2 linked regions of the Notamacropus eugenii genome follow. The main gene of each other region encodes a partner of the protein of the gene in region 2 in a complex. Links are inferred from orthologs where the notes say so. Each region holds a gene or a part of one and is shown on either strand. Other genes may lie near its edges.

Evidence for each region. Proteins that work in one complex are often made in the same cells at the same time.
Region 1: PPP4R4 (region 2) and PPP4R3A share a complex: the UniProt entries of both Homo sapiens proteins name them as parts of the PP4 complex. The link is inferred for Notamacropus eugenii from reciprocal best matches to the Homo sapiens genes PPP4R4 and PPP4R3A.

The regions. Positions count from the first base shown.
Region 1 is NC_092878.1:35,222,653-35,229,973, forward strand, and holds the start of PPP4R3A (serine/threonine-protein phosphatase 4 regulatory subunit 3A), read right to left. Parts: upstream 3,013-7,321; 5' UTR 2,864-3,012; coding exon 2,722-2,863; intron 1-2,721. UniProt on the Homo sapiens protein: Regulatory subunit of serine/threonine-protein phosphatase 4. May regulate the activity of PPP4C at centrosomal microtubule organizing centers.
Region 2 is NC_092878.1:35,497,774-35,505,194, forward strand, and holds the start of PPP4R4 (serine/threonine-protein phosphatase 4 regulatory subunit 4), read right to left. Parts: upstream 3,012-7,421; 5' UTR 2,664-3,011; coding exon 2,547-2,663; intron 813-2,546; coding exon 739-812; intron 1-738. UniProt on the Homo sapiens protein: Putative regulatory subunit of serine/threonine-protein phosphatase 4.

The DNA of each region.
Region 1 (7,321 bases), about 280 kb from region 2:
TGAACGGCCATTTCCCCACAGCCCATCCAACAAATCAAATATTCTTTTCTATTATAGTGGATGCAAAGTAGTGTTCCAAGGCCATCTAGACAGGCATCTCTCTGGTTATTGGAATTTAAGAATTTTTTTGTGTAGTTAACCAGTTTGTATTTTCATCTTCGAAAATTGCTGTCACATCCCTAGATCACTGAGGAATGTGATTAAGTCTTACAGAAACATGTGTCAGTTCCTTACAGATTCCAGATTTTCTGGATTAACTGTTTCCAATGAACAAACACAGTGTTGAATTCTGTTTTTTAATCCATTCTGTGACTTCTTCATTTTATTGGAGAGCTTAATCCATTCTTATTTATTAGCATTATAAAATTGTTAGGTTTGCCTTTTCTTCAACCATTCTATAGAAAGGGAACATACATTTTCTTATTATTTGACATTAAATTAAAAAAAAACACTTTAAACCAACTTCTTTAGTCTTATTAATAAGGGCATACCTTTGTCAGAAGCACATTACTGAAACAGTAATTATCCAAAACGATACTGAGGGTTCAACATAACAGTGTTGATTTGAGGAGTGTTTTAAATATCTGTCCTTTTTGGCTGAGATTTGACTGTTTTAAGATTTCCTTTAAAGCCACAGGTTTCACTGTAAACTGAAAAAAGCCTGAATACTTCTCAAATGCTGATAATTCATACCTTAAACAGTGTACTAAGTTTCACTGGGCAAATAATTCTAGTTTTTTTTTGCGTACATTCTTATATTCCAGTTCCTCTAACTATCCCTTATCCTCCATGATTTCTACTATGATTCTGATATTTCCTATATTTCTCCTTGCATCTCGAAATATTTTTTTCATATCATTGTAGTTTTGAAGCTTAAAAATCTTGGAGCCTTCCTTATTGTTCGATGGATTCTATTTTGCTGTATGAATTTGCTTTTTCTGAGAAATTTTCTATGAAGATTTCTTGAAAGTGTTCATATTCTTTTTCTCAATTTTCTGTGATTTCAGTAATGCCCAAATTGTCAGCTTGTGAAGCATCCCTTGAGTTTGTCATTTGATTCTGAGAATTTAAACATTTTTTTTTTTGAAGCCAGTATATCCAATTGTTAAGTATTGCACATAAATCAGCTTTTCCATAGTGTATTGGTTTTTTGAGGTTTTTCTATCATGTGCTCCATTACCTTTTTTCTTCAGTTTCTTCCCAAAAATTTTTTTTTTGGAGGGGAAGGCTTTTTAAATTCTAAAATGAGTACCTATGTGACTTTTACTTTCTTGAACCTCTTTTTCTGGTCTTACAATTTTATTACATCATGTTAATTTTCTCAATTTCTTCAAATATGTTAATTTTTACTTATGTGTGGTTTTTTCCTTGCCATTTTTCTTCTTTGGTGATTATTTTTTAAAAGGCATTTGAGGGACCTGACTGCATTTAAACTGAGTGGAAAGTGAACTTTCTAGTTTCAAAAATACTTCACTATAAACTTGTGTGAAGATGTATTTTGAAGCTTAATCTTCAATGACCACAGATTGCCCCCTTTAGCTCACTGAAATTTAGGGACAGCACAGAGGAGAGTAGTCATCAAAAAATGATTTGGAAAAAAATCTGGCTGTGGAACTATTCAAATTGAGTAAGTAGCAATGAAGCACTTTACTCAGGGTCACTAAGCATGTTAGAGATGGGTCTTGAACCCAGGAGCTCCAGACTTCAAGGTCAGCCATCTTGCCATGTTTTCCATAGTTTAAACAAGAAAAAGGGCCAGTACAAAACAATTTAATCAGCTCTTATAGGAAGTTCTCTGGACAAAGAACAATATTACCAACAAACTACTCTGAAAAGTAAAATAGCACATGTCTCTGAAATCAAAGTATTATTTTTTTTATTAAATGCAAAGTTAGCCTATCCACTCTTGTTGATATGAAACTGGAGCTCAAGTGTGTACTATTTCCAAAATCCACTTATGGGAGTTCTCCAAAGAGTAAGAAATAGCTCATGAATCTCTTAGCGCCTTGTAAAAACGACATATCCGTTTTGCTGATGGGCAAACTAGCAATCACAAAAGTGATGAAAAGACTCCCTCAAGGTCACTCGAATGAAAACCCCCCTCAGACAGCAAGCTCCTGGAGGGCAGAGTACTCCCTGACGCCTAACTCGGCATCTGGGAACACTAACTTTTGCTTCCTGTTTCCAGCGCTTAACACGGTGCCTGCAAACATCATAACACAGAAAGGTCTGCACGTCCAGCCCTCGGCGGTAGCGTCCAGCACACAGCGGGAGCAAGTCATAACTGCCTACCGCCTGATTTATGAGAAGGAGAAGCGGCCTTCAGTGCCCCAGACCGCAGCCCAGCCACAAGTGGCGCGCACACACACGCACGCACACACGCACACACACCTGTGCGCCTCAGGAGCACGGCCGCAGGTCCCCTCTCACACGTAGGAAAGCACAAACACACCGGTCCTCGGGAGGGAGGGAAAGGAAACGTTGCTCGAACTGGGGGGAGGGGGTGTGGATGGAAACGACTCGGGGGCGACCCCTCATTCTTAACTCGCGGGGTTCCCTGACGGAGCCCCCTCCCCACCCGCCCCGTTCTCCCCGGGGCAGTCTCGGGGGTCCCGCGGCGCCCAGGGCGGGCCGTCCCCCCTAGAAGCTCCAGCACCCCCCGCCCCGTTGACTTGAACTTGCCTCCGAGGGGAGGACGCCGGAGGGGGGTCTCTCACTCACCGTCGCTCTCCGCCCTGACAAGCAGGGACATGCCCTTCAGCCTCTCCACGTAGCCCGAGGTCACATGCCCGGTGCCCCGGTCGTCCCACTGCCGGTCCTCGTTGAGCGTGTAGACCTTCACCCGTCTCCGGGTGTCGGTCATCCTGCCGCCCCCCCCCGCAGCCACCGCCCGGGGAGGGGGTGAGGGGTGAGGGTGGGGGAGACGCCCCGCGGGCCCCAGGAGGGGGAGGGGAGGCGGGAGGCCCGGACCGACGGGGCCCTCTCCGCTCAGCACCGCGCACCGCGGCCTCCCGGCAGGGGGCCTTCACTCCCACGCGCGGCGGCCTCCTCCCTCATGTCACGGCCCGGGAGGCCGGGGTTGGGGGCGGGAGACACCAGGGGGGCCGGGGTCTGGATCGGCCGTGCCCCCCGCGAGCGTTGCCCCGCTGCTCCTGCGCGGATCTATTGTCCAGGCCCAGCTGCCCACCACGGGGTCGGAGGAGCGATGGCCTCCACCGGGCGTCGGGCGCGGGTCACTGCCCTGCTCCCGCCTCCGCCATGCCCTTCCTTCGCCAAGCCGCTTCCAGCCGCCGCCGCCTCAGGCCGCCGCCATGTTCTCCTTCCTCATACCCGGGCCCCGTCGCCGCGGCCGCCCCCGGCGGCTCCGCTGCTCCCCTGCGCTCTCCGGGTCTCGAGCGTGTCCGCCCCCGGCCTGTGCCCCTGCGCCCGCCGCTTCTCCAGAGACGGCGAGGGCCCCCCCGGTCGTACCTGGGGCGCCCTTCCCAACGCCAGGTCCCCTCTCGGCCGCCGCCGCCGCTTCTTCCTCCTCCCTCACGGAACCAAAGCAGCCGCCATCTTGGTTCATCCCTCAATAGAGGCGCGCGGGGTCTTCTACCCCACAGCTGCAGGGGCCGCGCCGAGGCCACGCCATTTAAAGGTACAGGCACCGCAGTTAGTGGCGCCGGCCGGGTAGAGAAGATTCAGAAGGAGGGAGGGAGGGAGGGAGAGAAGGGAAAAGGAGGGGAGAGGAAAGGGCGGGACTGGTGTTTCCGAGGCTAGACCGGAAGCGAGCGCGACTGCTCTGGGGAGCTCTCTGCCCAAGGAGCCCCGTCGCCCTAGTGACGGGCCCGGACTTCCTAGAGATTCCTCGCGCACGCGGGTGCGCTGAACCTCGGGCCCGGCTGCGCCGAGCCGCCTCCCGTCGCTCCCTGCCTACGTCATCAGCCTGGCAGATGAATTTCAAACTGCGGAGAGCCCGCCCGAGCCGGGTCCGGGCAGCGGCTCCGCCTGGAGCTCCACCCACGTGCGCTCGCGGGCTGAGGCTGGGGGCGGTCCTGGAGCCTGAACACGGACCACCCCCCTCCCCGCTTTCTGCCAATGAAATCCCGACTCCTCCCCCCAGCCCCGCCTTGGCCGGCCACGGCTTTTTTTTTTTTTTTTTTTTTTTTTTTTTAAGCAGCTGCTGTTTTCTCTTCCGCGCTTGGTGCTCCTGATCCTCAGGTGGTTCGGGAAAGGAAATCTGGTCTCTTGTCTCCCTGTCTCTGTCTGTCTGTCTGTCTGCCTGCCCCCTTTCTTAATAACTGAAGCAAGCGGTAAAAGCAGAACTCTGGTTTCTGTCCTGGCGATGGAGAGCACAGGAATCCGTGGTGGGGATTTCTTCTGCCCTCCGGCGCCCTCGCCGGATCCGAACGTGTCCGATACCTGCTCGTGGGCCTGCCCCGAGAGGGGGCTGGAAAGGACGCAGACCGAGGGGGGTCGGGACAAGGGGGCCCCGGACTTTACCTCTGCCTCACCAGGAGGTGAAAGGACCGGCCCAAACGGGTCCCGGGCCCCTGGCAAAGCTGGGACTAGGTCCTAGCTAGGTCCGGGCTCCCGACCTGGGCTTTATTTCACTTAACACGTGCTTACAGGTTAAAGAACGAGGAAACCGTTTAATAGGAGTGTAGGGGTAGACCCTATAGAAGATGGCACACCACCGTCTCAGGGAGGGAGGGGGGATCTAAGATATGCAGAAGTGACTGTACAAAACTGGAAACAATGTTTAAAAAAGAATGAGGAAACGTGGCCCTGAGACCCAGGACCGCTAGATAATTCTTTGCCACCTCCCTATGGTGATGAAGAGTTCTTGGGATGGACTATTCACAGGCATTGGGGAAAGCTGCTTGTTTGGGGGTTCAGGGGACCTTGAAAAAGGAACTTCTTCCCAAGTTTTGGGGCAGTAAACAGGGAGGGTAGAGAGGAAAGAGTGGTAAGTGTATATACAGCAGGCAGCAAGAGCCACCAAGGTAGGATTAGGGCAGGAGGGAACTGGAGCTAAGATCAGTCCACACTGGCAGTCGTGGCTGAGAGTGAAGTCCAGTGCACAGATCCTTTCTTCCTTTCCCCCCCCCCCCTTTTTTTTAAACCTGAGTCGAAGCTGGGAAAAGTTCACCCTACGTTTAAATCTTAACTCTTTCCTTAGAGACCTGTCCCCCTTAGACTAGCTGGAAATAGGGTGGAGGAGGGAGAAAACTAGTAACCTTTTGAGTTCCACTGTAGTTTTCTATATTTTGTTTAAATGTCTCATTTCTGATTTAATTAAGACTGCTAATAAATGACATTAAACAGTGATTTGTCTAAGATTGTATGAGTTCATGATTTGGGATTGAGAGGGGGAAGCTAGTCTATGGGAGAAGAGATTTCCTTGGTTTTATTCTGGGGTAGGAGCCTAGTTAATTAAAGAGTTTCTCCAATTTTGAGTTATTTCTGAGGATATTCCAGAGTATGCCGCCTAGCCTGCCTCTGAATTTGGAGGAAAAAAAAAAAGAGACTTAGTATATTGCTTTAAGGTTTGCAAAGGGCATTGCAAAGATCTCATTATACCCTCAGAACAACCCTGGGGGGTGAGTACTATTAATTACCCCTGTTTTATAGAGGAGGAAACTGAGGCAGACAGAATTTAAATGACAGGGTCATACTGCTACCAAGTATCTGAGGCTCATTATTGCACCGTTTGCCATAATAAAATAATCCATTAGTGGGAGGGGTGGGGATCGGTGTGGATATACCAATATACCTCAAGCATTCTGCATCTTACATCTACACCTGAAAAAGAATTGTACTACAGTACTACTATAAGACATATGTATGTGTAGACAAGGCTATTTAAACATACAGACTCACAGGTAGTATGGATAGATATGATCTGAGGTCTGACCCACCTTTACACAGAATAGGTGGAGGACTGTGCACTGCTAATTTCCTAGTTGGTGGGGAGAGCTAGGCAGGAGGATCCAAGATAGCTGAAACTGGATGATCTCTCCTCTAGCAAGGGGGTTATTGGACTAGAATATCAATCTGCTACTCCTCAGATATTTCTAATCTAGGGATATAATTCAAAGGGATCTAGTCAGATTGAAAGCTCTTTTGTTGGTCAGTCTCAGAGGGGAAGGATAGCCTTTCGCTTACACCTGCCAACTGACTCCTTCCCACCAAACGCTGATAACTGAGAAGATCATCATGAAAAGATAGTGAACCTCTTTATCAAAGAAAGTAGGAAACAGAAATCACAGAAATTAAGCAGATTGGAATATACTACAAGAATACATAAAAGTAAATGATCCCTTCATCTGGGAGTGAGAGAAGATCTCAACTCAAACCAGGAGAGTGGGAATATCCTTACCAAGGGATGTCCACTCTCTAGCATTGCAAGCATGGAAATCAAGGGATGTAATGGGGACCAGCTTCCCCACATGTCTGCAGCTCTGGGGGCTCCCATTAGCCATTCAAAAGTTCATGCCTTGCTTCCCTAAACAGGTCTTGAGGTCCTCTCATGGAAGTGTGTCCCGCACACTGAAGCAGATCCCTTCTCCTTTCATGGTATCATGGCTCATTGTTCTCTAAGCCAATCAGGAGTCATGTCTCCTAACGGAACCAACACATGTCACAGGGCTCAGGAAAACCATCCACCTTTCCTAGGAGAGAGTGGGTGTTACATTCATAAGAACAAGAGGCACATTTCAAACCTATATCTTGTGCTCCTGAATCCATTATACTTTCATTAATGCCACACCACCTTTCTTGGTTCCCTTCATATCCAATATTTAAAATTATGGTATTTTAATGTTATTGTTTAGAAGTTTAGAATTTTTATTGACTTCCAAGGAGTCAGAGATTGCTGGGCAATGTGAGAATCACAGAAAATGGCACTTCCATGTTTTGTTAAAATGTTAGACTTTCTGATTATATAATAATGGGAACTTTTATTATATTATGATAAACAGACTCTTTTGAATAATATCAAAGAATATTCATCAAAACTATTTTTTCCAGTTCCATCAAGAATTGGTTAAGGAGCAAGGACCATCTTGACACTCTCATTATTTTGTTACCCTCTCTTTCTAGTTGATTCCATTTTGTTTGTGAAGTGGATGTTATTTCCTCCCCCCCTCCCAGAGCCCCTGGGTTGAGAAATGTCTGTTGAGTTTCTAGGCAGGGTTGGGCCTCCCTTGCCTAACAGCTGCCCCCCTTTGCCTAGTAGCCACTTTCTGTTGTGCCCCCTTGCCTAGCAGCCACCCTCCTTTGCCTAGTAGCTGCCCCCCTTTGCCTAGTAGCCACCCCCCTTTGCCTAGTAGCCACTTTC
Region 2 (7,421 bases):
AGCATCAGAGGCTGTATTTGAACCCAGTTCTTCTGACTCCAAAATGAATGTTACTTTTTCTAAGCATCACTATGTTAATATTGTTAAAAGAAAAATAAACTTTAAACAGTTTAAGAAAAACTAAGAAACTTGCCACCACTCAAAACAATTAAAGAAAAAATGCAGTAAGGAAACTCTGTGAGATAAAATACTAGACATATCAAGATTTCAAGATTTGATTCAATGTCAAAAAGTAGGTTTATGGAGCAACCAACATTTCCAATTAAGATTATCACAAGCTCATGGATCTCAAGTGATAAAATACTGAATTTAAACAGTAACATAATTTCCTTTATTCTGTCATCAAAGTGAAAACGCTTTTATCATTGGCATGCTACAATAAATATTATAATATCAGCTGCTAGATGCTCTTTTTTCCCATGGCAACTCACTGACTTGTAAAAGCAAATGCAGGAGACAAGAAAAGAGTGAAATTAAACTCAGTTTATATAGTGGATCTTTGAAGCTATGTCTGGATCTCACTCTAACAAACTGTTTATAGATTTCATTATTTACAAATTATTAAATACATGAAAACATACCTAGATGAAATTTTTATGTACCGAGGCACAAAATGTATTCAAAAAGCAGTATGCCAACTGATTTGGTAAATCTGCGCTACTCAAACAAATTCGATAAACATTGGTTTCTGCTGTCAGAGGAAAAGATCAGCAATTTGACAGTAAGACTTGGAAATACCTGAGTAGATAAACAGCCCTTTCAATATCATTGAGTTCTTCATCAACTGTTAGCCTTTCTATTTCTTCTGGTGTCTGTCAAATGTGAAATACAAATTATGTAGAAAATTTCTCAGGGTCAACTCTGGAACCCATTCCCCCACCACTCCAAATGCTAAAAACTAAGAAGGAATTTTATCTTCCCACAAAGATCAGTGAGATCCTATCAAGGGGCTTGGATTGAAGAGAGGAACTTCAAATTTCAAATACTGAGGGAAGGAGGGAGGAAGAATCTTTTTTCCCCCACTATTTATTAAACAGGAATGACGGCTTGAAAAGGGAAGTCATTCTCAAGTATGAGTGTTCCTTCACCTTCTCTGCGAGGTCTCCTCTTTCTGGATGTGGGAGGTGGAAGAGAGGAGTAAAGGAAAGGGCTCCCGGTGTGTAAGGAGTGCCAGTAGCAATCGGAGACAAGTGTTTTCTCCCCACTCATTCTGCCCACTCCCCTCCTTCTCCCACAGCTGCTGAGGCTCTGGAAGAAGGCAAGGGGATAGGTCCCTCGGGAAAGGCTCCCTTTGCTTAGAGACCCCCAAAGAAAAGGTGGGAAGAAGACCAAACAGGGGCCAGAGAATGAAAAAGGGCTAGAGGAGAAGGAAGAGGAGAGCCTGCACAAAGCATCCAGGCTTTCCTCCCCGCCTGGAGGGGCCAGCGACCACTGGGGAAAGAAGGCAAAGAGGGTTCGGAGAGGGCTGGGGACATGAGACGGGACCTGGAACGAGTTCTTTCTAACCTTCCCCTCTCCACCTGCAGTTCACTTTTCCACCCCCACTGATAATAGGGCAATTACAGGGAAATGCGGGTGAGGAGAGGGGCTGCGGAGGTAGGATGGGAGGAGAGGTGATGGAGATGCCTTCTAGGTGCCCACCTTCCCTTGACTGCTGGGGCAGAGAGGGGGAAGAGGAGGCGTGGAAAGGTGCTCTGGGCATGAGCTGGGAGAAAGCAGGACAAGTTCTCTTCATCCCCAAGTTTGGTTTTCTTAAATCCTTGGCTTACTGGGGAGCTGGCGGGGGGATGGTCTTCAGGAGCCCCTGACTAACCCGGGGCAGTGAGGATGGGAAGGCTTCTCTTTTCCCCAGTCTCCTGCGGCCCCAGAGGATGACTGTGGGAAGGGGGGAGGGGAGGGCAGGGAAGCAGACAGTGCCCCTGGAGATGGAGAGGTGGGACCCCAGATGGGATGGGCACCGACACCCCTCCTTCGGCTGGAGCCCCCGAGGACGGTTGGGGAAGTGTGATCATCCCGACCCCATCCCTGCTGCTCTCTGCGTGAGTCAGGGGAAGACGCAGGGGTGCCAACACCGATGGGGATGGGACGGAGCCGGGCAGGAGCTTTCTGCCCCCCTCACTGGAACCCCTGAAGATGAAGGGAGGTGGGGGGCGGAGAAGTAAGATGGCACCCCAGACTTCTCTGGGGGAGCCTCTCAAAGACTCGATGGGATAGGATGGGGTGGCATGGGGAGGGGGGCTGGTGCTCTCCCCACCCTCACGTCTTGATCTCCTGGAACCCATGAAGATGTAGGGGAGGCGGCGGGGAGGTGGGATAAGACCCCGGACTCTTCTGCGGGGAAGCCCCGCGAAGACGCGGAGGCGGTGGAGGGACCCCCGGGGAGCCCCCGGACGGCGCGGGACGGGGTCGGGTGCCTTCCCCTCGCTCGCCTCCCTCGCCTCCCCCGCCTCCTGGTCTCCGGGACCCCCGGGGAGGAGGGGAGCCCCCGGACGGCACGGCACGGGACGGGGTCAGGGGCGGGGGCCGGCTCCCTCCGGCGTCCGTACCTTGAGGCTCCGCCGCACCGGCCTCTCGATGATGGTGAGCTCCTGCAGGTCCTCGATGTAGCCGAACAGGCTGTTCTGACTGAAATCCATCTCGGCGGAGAGCGGCAGCGGAGGCATGGAAGGCGGGCCGCCGCCTCCTCGTCCTGCGCCGCCGCCGCCCGGCTCGGACCAGCCCCGGGGACTCTCGGGCCCAGCCCGCCGGCCGGGACACCAGCCCCTACTTTTTTTTTTCCCTTTTTCCCCCGCCCCAGACTCCCCCCTCCCCTTGAATGGGAGAGGGGGAGGGAGGAGGGAGAAAGGGGGAGGGGCTGTGGGGAGGAAAGGGGGAGGGACGAAGGGAGGGAGGGAAGGAGGGAAAGAGGGAAGGAAGAGAGGAAAGAGGGCGGGCGTGTGCAGGGCTCAGGGGGCGGAGAGAAACAGCCAGAGCCGCGCAGCTCAGGCGCCTAGTCCGTCCAGAACCCCGCCCCCTCCCGTGACGTCGCGTGGCGTCCTCACGCAACCGCCGGGACAACGTCACAGGTACCACTCCCTCCCTCCTCCGAGGCTCCGCCCATTCCTCCCACTCCTCCTTCCACTCCCCCTCCCTCTCCCCACCTATTGCTCCCCTTTGGGTTAGGTGGACTGGCAGTGGGCTCTTTCTCTGCTCTAGTCCCCCTTTTCTCCTTAAGAAGCGAATTGTCCATTCCTTTTCAGAAATTAAGGGAAAGGACCTGAGGAGGAGAAGGAGAAGGTTTTGGACTGTGAGGAGGAGAACTTGGTGGGGGGCGGGGCTCCTCCAAAAGTGTTCCCCCCCAGATTGGAGGATAACCTGGAAAGAAGAGGTCCCTTGTGTTTGCAGGTGACATAGATTAATGGCATTGGACCCTTGGAGTGGCCGAACCTTCTGAAAGACCTGGACGCCCTCAAAAGAGTTTAACCTGACAATCTACGTTGGAAAAACCAAGTGGATGAAGATTGTTCCTTCCCTGTGCAAGCTGGGAAGATAGAATGCTGAGCCTGGAGTAGGGAGGACTTCTTCCTGAGTTCGAATCTGGTCTCAAACACTTACTAGGGTTGTGATCCTGAGCAAATCACTTAACCTGTGTTTGCCCCAGTTTCTTCATCTGTAAAATGAACTGGAGAAGGAAATGGCAAACCACTCTAGTATCTTTGCCAAGAACACCCCAAATGGGGCCACAAACTAAAATGACCCAACAACCACAACGTACATCTTGGACATTGACCTGGGTCCAGGATCACATAAGAGGATAGAGGCTGTATGACCTTCTGGAAATTTCAAAAAACTTCCAATGATTCCAAACAACTCCCTGCCACAAAAGTTCATCTTTTTAACACCAAGGTTCTGTCTGGGACGATGCAGGGCTGAACACAATGTCAAAAGCATTACTAATGTAAGTGACCCCAAAGGACAGCAGAAAGGTGCATGGTAGATGAAAGCAGGTTGCAATATATTAATCATGAATGATTTATACCTCTGTCAGCCCTGGTTTCCTCCTTGGCAATATGGGGATAATAACCCTATTTCACTGGGTTGTTGTGAGGATCAAAAGAGAGAACAAACATAAAGCACTTTGGAAATCTGAGAATGCTATAGAAGTATTAGTTATCATTATTATATGTTATTATCAAGAAATAATGAAAAATTGTCAAGGACCTATATAGTGAGAAAGGGGGATAAGCCAATAATGGAACAAGAATGAAGAATGATGGATGAACAACCTAAGTGCTATGCCAATACCTATGAAACTGTAAAAAGTACCAAAGGAAGGCTTTCATCATATTGGTTGGATTCTTTACGAAGGTCTTCTAGAAGGACCTAGACAAGAACAGTACAGGATTAGAAGGTCTGTGTTATTTGGGAGTCTCTCTGTTATAGAAACAAGAAAATCTGATCAGTTTCCCTTTGGAATTATTTTCTCCTTTTAGTTTCATAATAAATTGCCATTCCTGGAGAGGTAAATAACAGGCCACTCCCAGAATGTACATATCCTAATGAGGTTCATTGAAGGATATTATTTGCAACTCCAAAAGATTTTGGGAGAGCTAGAAATGGGATGATATTGTGTTCCTCTGAGCCTTCAGCTGGCCCTCCATCAGTCATTTGGGCATTGCAGAGACCAGTGGTTTGAGATTAGCTCATGAAGAGTGGTAACTCCCAGATGGCTCCTGGGAGTTGCAGTGTGCCAGATTGGCTCACCAGCTTTTTCCTGTGAATACAGAAAAGGTCCTTCCTCTGATGTGTGTTGGTAATGTTTCATTTTTCAGTTCCCAGGGATTCTAGGTTGTGATTAGCTAGATTGGGTGGCAGATGTCAGAATAATCATATTTCTTATCTCTGCTCCGGATATGAGAATCTGTTGTTTATAAGAACTAGGATGCTATCAAAAAACTTTTTTCATTAGGGCTAAGATGAGCATCAGAATTTTTGGAAACAGGGAGAGATGTCAGCAGTTTAGAGGTATAAGGCAAAAATAGTAGCATAACAAACTGCATGGGTAAATAGGAAAACAAAACATGAACAGGCACTATGGTGTCCCTGAATATTGTTTAACTCTAAATAACTTGATCTCTACCAAGAAGGATGACCTTGAAGCATGATCTGTTTGTGAAAAGACAATAGAGGTTTTGCTTTAAGGAGATACAGCTCTCCCCTGTGCTAATAACTAATGACAGTTCTTTCTAAAGCATTTTGAGGTTTTAAAAATCTTAATAACAGGCATATCGCTGTATACAGTATGAAAATGAATATACTGACTACAAACCACACATGGATGCATTGCAGTAGTCATGCGTAGTTCAGCTGACACGCAGCTGCAATCTTTATAGACAGAGGGATGTACACATATCCATTCAATGTGCAAAAACGTTGCTAAGTGTTGGGAATAAAAAGGTAGATATGACATCATCTCCACCTTGAAGAGCTTATAAATCTATTAAGGGAGTTACAACATGTGCATATATGGCAATAGTAGAAAGTAGATCTATGGAGAAAAAGAGTATAGTATAAAGTGAATGGTAAAAGAGAGGTCCTGGCAAAGAAAATTTCTTGAAGAAGTAGAGTCCCATTTTGCATTAATCTCCCACAAGGAGGAAGTTCCTTAGCTAGAGAATAGTCCAATAGTGCATTTGATTACCTCTTAAAGTAGTGAGTTCCTGGTCACTGGGGGTACTCAGTCAAAGGCACCATACCACAATCATAGAGATGAGAGAAGGAACTCCAGGCCTAGGTGACAAGTTGTATTAGATGCCCTCAAGGGAGCCAGAATTGTGCCAGTAGAAGGAACACTGAATTTGAAGTTAGAAGAAAATCCCAGCCTTTCGACTCTCTCTCTACCTGTGTGACCTCAGGTAAATGATGTGCCCTCTCTCAGAACTTAGTTTCTTCATCTGTAAAATAAGAGAGTTGGCTTAACTTGAAGGTTTCTTCTAGCTAGCTGAAAAGATATTAATTGCAAATTTTAGGGCAACTAGGTGTGGTGCAGGATAGAGTGCTGGACCTGAAGTCAGGAAAACTCATCTTCCTTAGACAAAGTCAGCCTCAGACACTTAATAGCTGTGTGACCCTGGGGCAAATCACTTAACCTCATTTGACTCAGTTTCCTTATCTGTAAAGTGAGCTGGAGAAGGAAATGGCAAAGTACTCCAGTATCTTTGCCAAGAAAACCTCAAATGGGGTCACAAAGAGTGAGACATGACTGAAACGGAACAACAAACTACTTAAATATAAACTCAATTCACTTATAGACATGTTGAACTGTAAAATTTTCAGCACAGAAATTGTTTTCTTTCATCAGTCTCTGTAAATCTTACATTAAAATCTGAAGATTATCTTCAGCTAGGTGAGGCAGTGGTAGGCTTGGAGTCAAGAAAACCTGAGTGCAAATCCTGACTCGGATACTTACTAGCAGTGTGACCCTGGGCAAGTCACTTAACCTCTGTCTCAACCAGTTTTCTCATCTGTAAAAAGAGGGATGATAATAATAGCACAGACCTCATGGAATTGTGGTGAGGATCAAATAAAATACATATATATCATATATATATCTATAAAGTGCTCTGTAAACCTTAAAATCTGTACAAATTCTGGCTATTATTATCATCATCATCATAACCCTTTTATCTTAAAAATGAAGAAATGAGAAGAATAGAAGAACTTCCAGAAACTAGGAAGCACTTACCCAAAGTTATACAAGATCTGTTTTCATACGTGGAAAATAAAGTTACATTTCTCTTAATGGTCAGATTAGAAATTTTCTCTATTACTTTCCAGGTCCTCTTTTTCACCTGAGTGTGCCCAAAGGAGAGAGATGCATTGCTCTCTCTCTCTCTCTCTCTCTCTCTCCCTCCCTCCCCCACCCTTTCTCCTTTTCTTCTCTACTTCTTCCCTTTCTCTCCTAACCCACTGGAAAAGAGGTGTTTTTCTCATGTATGGGTAGCTTTTTTTTGGTTTTGATTCAACAATGGGGCAGATTTTTGCCTCCAAAGGTGATGATATATGCAGAGAGCAGATTGTGCATTTGTCTCCTGGGAAGAGGTGGGCGAGGAAAGACAGAATAAGGTAGGGGGAGGGAGAGTTTTGTAGAGGGACAGAGCAGGAGGAATCAGGGAGCTGTCTGTAAGGTTGCTTCTAGAAGTAGCAGCGAAGAGCTGATTATAGGTGTGAGCCCAGAAGCTCTGGATGTGGGTGCAAGAACATGCTTTTGGGCTTGAATGTCAAGGTGGTACTGACAGTTGCCCTGGTAATAGGTATAGGAAAGAGGCGGTGGGTTGGTCTTGCAGGCAGCCTTCCCGGAAGTTACAGCAAGTAGCACACTCTTTAGGGTTCCTCTAATTTCGGGGAGTGGAGAGATGGGACATGACAAAAGTTGAATGGAA